Linked DNA regions of Danio rerio. The protein of the gene in region 2 interacts with the protein of the main gene of each other region in a biochemical or structural test. Links are inferred from orthologs where the notes say so. Each region holds a gene or a part of one and is shown on either strand. Other genes may lie near its edges. The genes, in order: bcl10, card11 and prkcq.

What was found.
Region 1: the proteins of card11 (region 2) and bcl10 form a complex in vitro, tested with the Homo sapiens proteins (2 studies listed by BioGRID, with this or other methods). The link is inferred for Danio rerio from reciprocal best matches to the Homo sapiens genes CARD11 and BCL10.
Region 3: of the proteins of card11 (region 2) and prkcq, one has a biochemical effect on the other in vitro, tested with the Homo sapiens proteins (2 studies listed by BioGRID). The link is inferred for Danio rerio from reciprocal best matches to the Homo sapiens genes CARD11 and PRKCQ.

The regions. Positions count from the first base shown.
Region 1 is NC_133177.1:2,091,323-2,095,611, forward strand, and holds the start of bcl10 (B-cell lymphoma/leukemia 10), read left to right. Parts: upstream 1-1,442; 5' UTR 1,443-1,621; coding exon 1,622-1,672; intron 1,673-4,199; exon of another isoform or gene 4,200-4,289. UniProt on the Homo sapiens protein: Plays a key role in both adaptive and innate immune signaling by bridging CARD domain-containing proteins to immune activation.
Region 2 is NC_133178.1:40,598,150-40,601,810, reverse strand, and holds part of card11 (caspase recruitment domain-containing protein 11), read right to left. Parts: intron 2,910-3,661; coding exon 2,772-2,909; intron 1-2,771. UniProt on the Homo sapiens protein: Adapter protein that plays a key role in adaptive immune response by transducing the activation of NF-kappa-B downstream of T-cell receptor (TCR) and B-cell receptor (BCR) engagement.
Region 3 is NC_133179.1:26,090,513-26,094,173, reverse strand, and holds the end of prkcq (protein kinase C theta type), read right to left. Parts: intron 2,767-3,661; coding exon 2,578-2,766; intron 2,477-2,577; coding exon 2,348-2,476; intron 166-2,347; coding exon 7-165; downstream 1-6. UniProt on the Homo sapiens protein: Calcium-independent, phospholipid- and diacylglycerol (DAG)-dependent serine/threonine-protein kinase that mediates non-redundant functions in T-cell receptor (TCR) signaling, including T-cells activation, proliferation, differentiation and survival, by mediating activation of multiple transcription factors such as NF-kappa-B, JUN, NFATC1 and NFATC2.

The DNA.
Region 1 (4,289 bases), on a different chromosome or scaffold from region 2:
TCTGTTGTGAGAGAGTTGTAATAAAACAATGGTATGTTTTTAACAAATGAACACTTTTCCTTTTGTGTTTTATCAAATTAACCATTATTTAATCAGATTTAGTACTCCTAATAAACAGTGGGGATCGAAAGTTTGGGCGCCCCAGGTAAAAATTTGAATTAATGTGCATAAAGAAGCCACGACAAGATGGAAAAATCTCCAAAAGGCTTTAAATTACAGATTAGACATTTTTTTAATGTGTCAAAAAAGTTAAACTTTATTTCCATCATTTACACTTTCAAAATAACAGAAAATAAAAAAAAAAACATTCTGGGAACGTTCTCTGTAGGTTTTTTTTTTTTTTTTGGTAACCAAAATATAACCTTCCCAGAACGTTCTCTGCAGGCTATTTTCAATGGTTAATTTATTACCTACAGAGAACCTTCCCAGAACATTCCCTCTAGGTTTTATTTAGGTTTTTTTCATAACCTTGAGAGAACCTTCCCAGAACGTTCATTGTAGGTTAATTTTGGGATCTATTTTATAACCAAAAGAGAACCTTCTCAGAACGTTTTTTTGTTGATTATAATATCTTGAACTGCCGCCTTTGGCAAGTATCACAGCTTGTAAATGCTTTTTGTACAATTTTAAGTTTACAGTTTACATTTCAGATATAACTTTGTTTCAAATGTTACACTCTAAAAAAACGTTGAGTTATTTATTTAACCCAATAATTAAGTTAAACATATTTGGTGCTTTGTTGGGTTATTTTAACCTTTATTATGTTATTTATTAGTAACTCAACCAGTTGGGTTAAATAGTATGTGCTTTGTTGGGTTATTTTTAACCTTTATTATGTTATTTAATAGTAACTCAACCAGTTGGGTTAAATAGTATGTACTTTGTTGGGTTATTTATATCATAACTCAACCAGTTGGGTTAGAATTTTTAATTTCAACAGTCAACTGATTTAACTGACACAGAACAGCTGTATTAATATGTGCGCTTAATGTTGTTTTTGCATTCTAAAGTTTATTTAAGCTCTTAACGCAATAATATTGTTGTCTTTAGCACCCAGCGGAGACATTTATTTATTTACACTATCATAATTATAAAATTAATAGTAGTAATAGTAATAGAGTAATACCAGAATGAAAAAAAAACATGTATTTAAAATAACCCAATGCATTGAGTTAAAATACCCCATAGTTGGGTTTAATGTTGGGGTATTTTTAACCCAACTATTTTATCAGAGTATGAAAAATGCACAAATACAATCCCAATACAGTAAAAAGAATTAAATTGGAAAACACATGTAGGGGTATATACATCATCACAAATTAAAGGAAAATATTACATAATTTACAAATTTTACAAGTTCTCCCCTGTAAAATGATGACGTGATGCTGGGTTATGGCGTCATTCACAGAAAGTATGTAGGCTATCAATAAGGAAGTTAAAGCGCCGGTAGTTCCCCTTTACTATATGAGAACTACGAGTGGATCCAACGTGTGCTAACAAGTTCGTGTCTGGACATTTTGGCTGATTTCTGGTCGCCGATGTGGAATTTGAAGCACCGTTTTCTTACCGGAACGAGTTAAAAACTGAACAGTAGTGAAAAACAACAAAACGAAAAGAGAGGATGGATGTTACTCACCTGACGGAGGACGAAATGGCCGATATAAAGAAGGAAGTGAGTAAAACGAAACAAAACGCGTTAATGAAATCGAGAATCTATTAATCAGATAATGCCTTCGTAAAAGTAGAAGTGAAAGCGCTGAGGGGCACTGACCACAAACCTGATCGATGCAACCAAACGTTTATCAGGTGTAAAAACCTGAAAGCAAATGATTTCCAAATGAGTTCGTCAAGTTTTTATACTCCGACTTCACTTTATTAGAGTGTGAACTGCTTTATGAAGTACCTAAGACGAGCATATTAATCATATTGGTCTACGAGATTAAATAAACCCACATTAAAACATACTACAGTGGACTAACTTAATTCTGGCAAATATTAGTGTTTATGAACAATGCTAAAGTAGGCTAACGTTACTTGAATTAATCTGTTGTGGTAATTTTGTTGTTGTTATGGTAATACAACAGTATAAACATGTCACAATACTGTAATACATACAACTATACAGTTTACACATAATAGTAGCTTACAATACTAATGTAACACTAATAACACACTGCTAACGTATACTACAGTATTTATAACAGCTTATGAGTTCAATATTGATAAGTAAAATTCATTTATAAAGAGTTCACTAAAGAGTTTAATACACTTAACTATAGTATAGTTCAAAAACATTACTTTTCCAGCATATGTTTTACGCAGCGGATGCCCTTCCAGTACTGGGAAGTATATATATATATATATATATATATATATATATATATATATATATATATATATATATATATATATATTTTTTTTTTTTTTTTCCTTCAGCTTAGTCTCTATTTCAGAGGTCGCCACACAGGTTTCACGCAGCGGATGTCCTTCCAGTATTGGGAAACTTGTAATATATATATATATATATATATATATATATATATATATATATATATATATATATATATATATATATATATATATATATATATATATATATACACAGTTGAAGTCAGAATTATTAGCCCCCTTAATTATTAGCGCCCCTGTTTATTTTTTTTCCCAATTTCTGTTTAATGAAGGGAAGATTGTTTCATCACATTTCTAAACATAATAGTTTTAAAAACTTATTTCTAATAACGAATTTATTTTCTCTTTGATGACAGTAAATAATATTTTAATTAATATTTTAATATTTCAAGACACTTCTATACAGCTTAAAGTGAAATTTAAAGGCTTAATTGGGTTGATGTGGTGAATTTTAAGGTAAAGGTAATTTTGTCCCAAAATGTTTTTTAAAAAATTAATAACTGTTTTTAATCTTGCCAAAATAAAATAAATAAGACTTTCTCTAGAAGAAAAAATATTATCAGACATACTGTGAAAATTTCCTTGCTCTGTTAAACATCATTTGGGAAATATTTAAAAAAATAAAATAAAATCAAAAGGTGGCTAATAATTCTGACTTATATATGTGTGTGTGTATTCTTTTTAAATACTATATATAACTATTGCACTTCAATACACTACAGTTTACAAATTTATACATACACTGCTAACGTATACTACTGTATTTATTACAGATTATAAGTTTAATGTTGATAAGCAGCATTCATTACAAAGAGTTTGCTATACCGTTTAATATACGGTTCAAAAACACTATTTACTAAATATATTTATTTATATAAATTTAATTAATTCATTTTCCTTCGGCTTAGTCTCTATTTCAGAGGTCACCACAGTGGAATGAACCGCCAACTATACTATGGATACCCTTCCAGCCCCAACCCAGTACTGGGAAACTATTTATATACATTTATTTTATATTATATTATATATATATATCTGCCACTATATATATATATATATATATATATATATATATATATGTATGTATATATATGTATGTATATATATATATATATATATATATATATATATATATATATATATATATATATATATATATATATATATATACATACATATATATATACATATATATATATATATATATATATAGTTCAATACACTTAACTATAGTATGGTTCAAAAACACTATTTGCTATATATATATTTATATTATTTTACTATATGTATTATAGTAAAATATATTATATTAAACATAAAAAAGAATTATCTTTTATTAACTTAGCAGATATTTATTTAGTAGGCAGACGCTTTTAATAAACACTACAATTCAACAGAGAGTAGCAGTATATAAATGATATGTAAAGCACAAGCCTACAAGTCAAATTTATTCATTCATTCATTCATTCATTCATTCATTCATTTATTTATTTATTTATTTATTTATTTATTTATTTATCTTTGTTGAATAAGAGAAATCACACTAATCTCTGATCAAATCCTTGACACATGCCCAATAATTTTTGCCTGTCTTAAATGTTCCCTGCTTCAAAAATACTGATATATAATAGCCTCCCTGCAAAGCTCCCTGAAAAACTATGAGCTATTGGGCTTAGTGTTTTAAATGCAAAGTGTGGTCATTTCACATGTTTAATTGATTTAGTAATATAGGTTCATTGATAAATAAAATGTATTTATCAATTATTTTTAAAAGCATCTTCACTTTACAGCATTTTTACACAAGTGCCTAAAACTTTGAACAGCTTTGCTGGTAGGTTTTTGGAAGCATCTTCAAGATGAGCCAGAGTTCTTCTTAACCG
Region 2 (3,661 bases):
CCTGATCGAGGTGAACCATACTGTACTGTACTATGCTGAACCTTACCGCTCAGTGTAAATGAGAAATAGGTGTACCACCTTATATCAAGTGACTTTAACTACCATGTGCTTACATGGATCATTTGGTGCAATGCACTTATTGTGTACATACAGGTTTTATTTTGAACCGATATTTTAAAGATCTGCACGCAGTTACCGCTGTAAATATTTTATTTAATTACATATGACTACCCCATTAACCTATCCTTTACACCAGGGGTCTCAAACTCAATTTACCTGGGGGCCGCAGGAGGCAAAGTCTGGGTGAGGCTGGGCCGCATAAGGGATTTCACAAAAAAAAAGTCCTCAAATGTCATTATTAACAGTTTTAATTATTTCTTCTGAACATGAAGTGTCCTGAACATTAATAGAACATTGAGTGAAGATTATGAACAGTTCTTCTGAACATGGCATCTTTTGCCTACTCTTTGCTGCCAGAGACTTGACAGCGCTTCCTCTCACAAATCTGAACCACATTTGGCTTTAGAGCGGAAGCAGTTGAGACCCTCAGTATGGCTTGAAGATGATCATCATTAAGTCTAGACCTGTACTTTGACTTATTGAAGTCCTAGGGAAAAAAGTATTGCACTGAGGGCCGCAAGTGGCCCGCGGGCCGCGAGTTTGAGACCCCTGCTTTACACTTTACCCACCCATAAACCTAACCATACCACCAAGCCTATCCCTAACCCTAATCTTGCAACACAATATGAACACAAATCATTCATTTACCGATGTTAGTACATAGTAGTATATGATTATAACCTCTGTTTGACCAGTCAGTGTAATTGAGAACTAGTTCTTATTTATATTAATAGCTATAAGAAGTGGGAACTGAAAAAAGCACCAATAACACCATATACAGTGTATCCGGAAGGTATTCATAGTGCTTCAATTTTATATTACAGCCTTATTCCAAAATAAATTAAATTCATTTATTTTCTCAAAATTCTACACACAATACCCCATAATGACAATATGTATATATTTATATATATATATATTTATATTTATTTTTTATTTTTTTAATTGTTGCAAATCTATTAAAAATAAAAAACCTGAAAAATCACATGTACATAATTATTGACAGCCTTTGCTGTGAAGCTCTAAATTGAGCTAAGGTACATTTTGTTTTCACTGCTCATTCTTGAGATGTTTCAGCAGCTTAATTGGAGTTCACCTGTGGTAAACTCAGTTGATTAGACATGACTTGAAAAGGCTTACACCTGTCTATATAAGGTCCAAGGGTTGATATTGCATGTCAAAGCACAAACCAAGCATGAAGACAAAAGAATTGTCTGTAGATCTCCGAGACAGGATTGTCTCAAGGCACAAAAATTTCTGCTGCTCTGAAAGTTCCAATGAGCACAGTGGCCTTCATCATCCGTAAATGGAAGATGTTTGGAACCACCAGGACTCTTCCTAGAGCTGGCCGGCCCTCTAAGCTCAGTGATCGGGGGAGAAGGGCTTTAGTTAGGGAGATGATCAATAACCCAATGGTCACTCTGTCTGAGCTCCAGTGGAGAGGAGAGCCTTACAGAAGAACAACTATCTGTGCAGCAATCCACCAATCAGGCCTGTGTGGTAGATTAACCAGACGGAAGCCACTTACCGCCTCTAATTTTCCAGAAGGTATCTGAAGGACTCTCAGACCATAAGAAACAAAATTTTCTAGTCTGACGAGACTAAAATTTAACTCTTTGGAGTGAATGCCAGGCATTACGTTCGGAGAAAACCAGGCACCGCTTATCACTAGACTAATACCATCCCTACAGTGAAGCATGGTGGTGGTAGCATCATGCTGTGGTGATGTTTTTCAGCAGCAGGAACTGGAAGACTAGTCAGAATGGAGGGAAAGAAGAATGCACCAATGTACAGAGACATGCTGAATGAAAACCTGCTTCAGAGTGCTTTTGACCTCAGACTGGGGCGACGGTTCATCGTCCAGCAGGACAATGACTCAAAGCACACCACTAAAATATCAATGGAGTGGCTTCACAACAACTTGGTGAATGTCCTTGAGTGGCCCAGCCAGAACCCAGACCTAAATCTTATTTTTGGAGAGATCTGAAAATGGCTGTACACCGTCGCTTCCCATCCAACCTAATAGAGCTTGAGAGGTACAGCAAAACACCTAAAGACAGGTGTGCCAAGCTTGTGGCATCATATTCAAAAAGACTTGAGGCTGTAATTGCAGCCACTGGTGCATCAACAACGTATTGAGCATAGGCTGTGAATACTTATACGCATGTGTTTTTTCAGGTTTTTTATGTTTAATAAATTTGCAACAATTTCAAAAAATCTTTTTTCACACTTTCATTATGGGCTATTGTCTGTAGAATTTTGAGGAAATAAATGAATTAAATACATTTAGGAATAAGACTGTAACATTAAAGATTGTGAAAAAAGTGAAGCGATATGAATACTTTCCGGCTGCACTGTAGTATACTTGATATGTCAATTATATGTTATATTGTACGAGTATGGTAATTATATAGCACCTTCTGATACTATTAGTGTACCACCAAGGTGCTTACATATTATTATTTATTTATTTATTTATTTATTATATGTATTAATTATTATTAGAAGCAACTGCTTAAAATGGGATTTGGAAATGGGATTTATTGCAGATACTCATCCCACAGGAGAAGCAGGTGCAAGGCAACAAACAATTTTAAAACATGGTCATAGATCTTTTATATGTGCAGTATTTTAATTTAAAAGTGTCTCACCGACTATAGTGGAGCATCTGCGTGTCGGCTCCTTCCCCGTGACCAGTTTGTAGAGGTCAGGGTAATACAACTCAAGACTCTCCAGAAAAACCACATAGCCTCGCTCTCCCTTCGTGTGCAGGATATCCAGCAGCCGGCCTGAAACAAAACCACAAGCAAAACTAAAAAAGTATACAGAGTAATGTCTTAATGTCGACTTTATTAAGGTACTTTATATAGTACATGTTCGACAAAATTGAAGTCGCTTTTAATTTAATTAAATATGTACTGTAGGTTTTTTTCATGTCATGTCAGTTAAAAAAATAAATGCCAATCAAGTCAAAAGTAAAATTAGCAAAATTGTATATCACTAAATTTAGCTTTTCCAAAAAACATCAAATCAATAAAATTAGGGTGTTTTGTTTGCAATGTTCCCCAATATGATTGTTCCCAAATATGATTATAATCCCCCATTCTTGGAAAATAATAGATTTCTATACTACTGCAACAATACTGCATTTTCTAATCATTATAATGTATGTATGTATTTATTTATGTATGTAATTATTTATTTTCACATATATTTACTTCATTTAATAAAAAAGTCTTCAAAGTGGGTGGCACGGTGGCGCAGTGGGTAGTGCTGTCGTCTCACAGCAAGAAGGTCGCTGGTTCGAGCCTCGGTTGGGTCAGTTGTCATTTCTGTGTGGAGTTTGCATGTTCTTGCTGTGTTGGCGTGGGTTTCCTCCGGGTGCTCCGGTTTACCCCACAGACATGCGCTATAGGTAAATTGGTTAAGCTAAATTGGCTTTAGTTTATGTGTGTAAATGAGAGTGTATGAGAGTTTAGCAGTTGGAATGGCATCCGCTGTGTCAAATGCGCTGGACAAGTTGGCAGTTCAATCCACTGTG
Region 3 (3,661 bases), on a different chromosome or scaffold from region 2:
GGAGAATCAGGGGCTCTTGAGACGAGTCATGATAGGGTTGATAAAGGAGAAGTTTTCGAACATGCTCTGATCCATGCTATTGATCATCATACGATCTGTGACGGAGAGTCGAGGCTTCTCGTTTATGAACTCCTTATCGAAGTTACTGCAGTCATTTGCTGATTTCTGTAAACAAACAAACAAAAAAAAACAAAACGTCATAGTCACAGATAAATGTTTGCAACAAACCTCTAAAATCTATTGTGAGGTGCTGCGTTCAGTTCTATTGTCTACTACAGACACCATAACTAAAACTAAACCTCAAAATGTACGGAATTCAAATGATCTACACCAGCATTAATGGTGCACAACACAGAGAAATTGCAACTTTAGCATGTCGCCAAGCTAAAAACAACACTCGGATATGTATAAATTAAAATGTACCTCATTAAATCATACATTTATATCCTGTCTCAGAGCTAATGCATCTTCTGTCATTGACTTCAGTAACATATAAACTAAATACAGCTTAAATTCCTGTTTTGGAAAAAATTTAACAAAAGTTACACCAAAAACAAAAATTCTGTTATCTTTTTTTTTTACATGTACAGGTGTCGGTGACACGGTGGCGCAGTAGGTAGTGCTGTCACCTATCAGCAATAAGGTCGCTGGTTTGAGCCTCAGCTAGGTCACATGGCGTTCCATGTGCCAAAGACATGTAGTATAGGCTAAATTGTCTGTAGTGTACGAGTGTGAATGAGTGTGTAGGGATGTTTTCCAGAGATGGGTTGCAGCTGGAATGGCATCTGCTCCGTAAAACATGCCCCTTTTTTTAATAAAGGGACTAAGCCGAAAAGAAAATGAATAAATGTACAAGTGTCTAATTAATAACTACGAGAAGTAATTAGATACTACTAAATAAATAGTATTTAAAATAAGCAAACTAGGATATACTTAATAGTTGCTATAGTACTTACTGTAATAATAAATTTTAGTACTTGTTTTATTAAATAACAAGTATCCAATAATATAGGTACTAGTATATAAAACATTCCTATCTGTTTACTGAACTGGTATCCAATGAATAATTGGCCATTTTTAATGAATCTAGTGAAAAACTGCTAGCATTTAATCAAGAATAACACTTTGTCCTAACAAGACAAGACAAGATTCCAGCGACAAGCAATTTGGCTGTCTGAACCAAACATGACACGACAGAAACATTTAAATACCAGCTACCGACTCCCAGCAAAATGGTAAAGGCTTTTAATATTACACATTCAACCTCTTTAACATTATTAGTAGGCTACTGAGTGACTTACAGTATGTTGTAACTCTGACTTTCATTTTCAAATTGCCTGATAGTTTGTTTATTTTCAAGATCTTAGGTTAACTGCTTCAGCTTTCAGTAATAATAAATGTAAAGTAAAATGGTATTTAAACTCACATTGTATTTAACCCTGTATAAAGCACATAATTTCTACCCGAGATGATCATTGTCTTATTAGTATATGCTGTAGTAGCCACAATGTCACAGAAATAGAAAGAATTTCTAAAATTCATGCATTGCCATGAGATGGTTACTAGGACAAAAACTCCCTTTAACATGAAAAAGATACATTTTATTGGGTGTTGCAGCATGTGTAGTTAGGACAGCACCAGTAAGTACTAGTAGGCTTTTTGATAAATTTTAGTATGTACATGTGACTATAAATTATAGCATGTAATAAATGAATACAAGTATTTAATGAATAAGTATTTAATAGTGAATGCTATTATCTAATAAAAATAGTAACTTAACAAAAGGTTTGTGCTGCTAGTTTCTTAAGAATAGACATCCTAAAATGTACTAGTACTTACTGAAAAAGGTTCTGGTAGCTAAAAAAATACCAAATGGCATAAAAATAGTTGTATTGATTAAATGTTAACACTTTGTTGTTGAATGTTATCAATGTGTTTTGAATGAATGCAAACTAGTAATGTTTTTTAGTGCGAACTAACCCTTTACTGTATGCTTTGCCGTTTAACTCTAAGGCTTAGGATTCATTTGGTTTATTTTGTAACCTGCTCTGCATCTGATGCCTTTAAAAGCCAATTCACACTTCACAGACAAATGGCAACAAGCAAATTAACTATTGTATTTAGTTGTACTGTAAAATCAGTGATCCACAATTTAACAAACGCAGATTAAACATGTTAATTTGGGTGAAAACAAAACTCCGATCAATGGCAACAGATGCCGACTGATCCGACAAATTGTTTATTGGCGTTTGTGCGCTGTTAATTAGCATTTAAATGTTATCCATATCAACAGCCCATCAGGTTTTAGAGCAGAAATGACAATCGTTGTGGTCTGTAATGAACTTACCACAGTGGGCTTGAAGGGTGGCTCCACCTGTCGTTCCTCCAGCGCGCTCCAGTCTGTTTCTCTAAAGAAGGGATGTTGCCGTATATTCCCTTTCACGCCCAGCCTTCGCTCTGGCTCCCGGACAAACAGCTAAAACCAATCAGTGTTTTACTGTGTTATTTTATATACAAACACTGTTATAGTTCATAACAGAATCACAAGTCTTATATTGATCTCTAGTTCAGATATACCTTCACAAGAATGTCTCGTGCATCTCTAGTTAACCAGCGTGGGTAACAAGGGTCATCTGTGCGAATTGACTGAAACAGCTCTTCTTCATCGTGCCCATGAAATGGAGACTGGCCAATCAGCATCTCGTAAAGTAGGACGCCAAATGACCACCAGTCTACAGATGTCCCATATTTCTGACCAAGCAGTATCTGTGAGGTATAAAGTGCACATTATGTATTACAAATAACTTTTATTCACTTATTTGCATGGTTTAGGTATCTAACTTAAAACTATTGTGAATGGAGTTTTAGGGGTGTGTAATTTGGTAACACTTTATTTTGATGTTCCATTTGAGTTTTAGTAGACTGTCTGCTTTATATCTATTGATACTGCTTCTTCAACACATTTAACTGACTATAAGGAACTTTGCATGTACATGTCTACTACTTGTAACCTTATGAGAATTAGTTGGCATGTAGATGCAATGTAATTTAAATTTAACAAACGGACCACAAAATAAAGTGTGACCTGCAATATTTTATCATCTGCTTAAGATAATTTCATATTTGTTGATAAATTACATGCAAACTGAAAATGTTTGTGACCCTAGACCAAGGGTGGGCAAACTCGGTCCTGGAGCGCTGGTGTCCTGCACAGTTTAGCTCCAACTCTAATCACACTAACCTGTTTAGAGATTTCTAGTTATCTTGAAGACGCTGATAAGCATGTTCAGGTGTGTTTGACTAGTGTTGGAACAAAACTCTGCGGGGACACCGGCCCTCGAGGATCAAGTTTGCCCATCCCTGCCCTAGACTACAAAACCAGTCATAAGTGTCCATTTTTGGAAAATGAGATTTTACTCAGGTTTACCCAACGCATTTCAATGATTCTAGTTTTCTGTGTTTACGCATTTCTGCAAAAACATAAAATAAAATAAATTAAATAATAAATTAAATTGACTTCAATTAGCCAGAAATACGTGTCAACACGCACGACATGTGAGTATCTTTATCAGATCTTTACATTCAGGCAATGTACTGCATTTTTACTATAGGTCAAATAAATACACTGTTGATTTTTGTTAAAGAAGTATGACAAAAAACA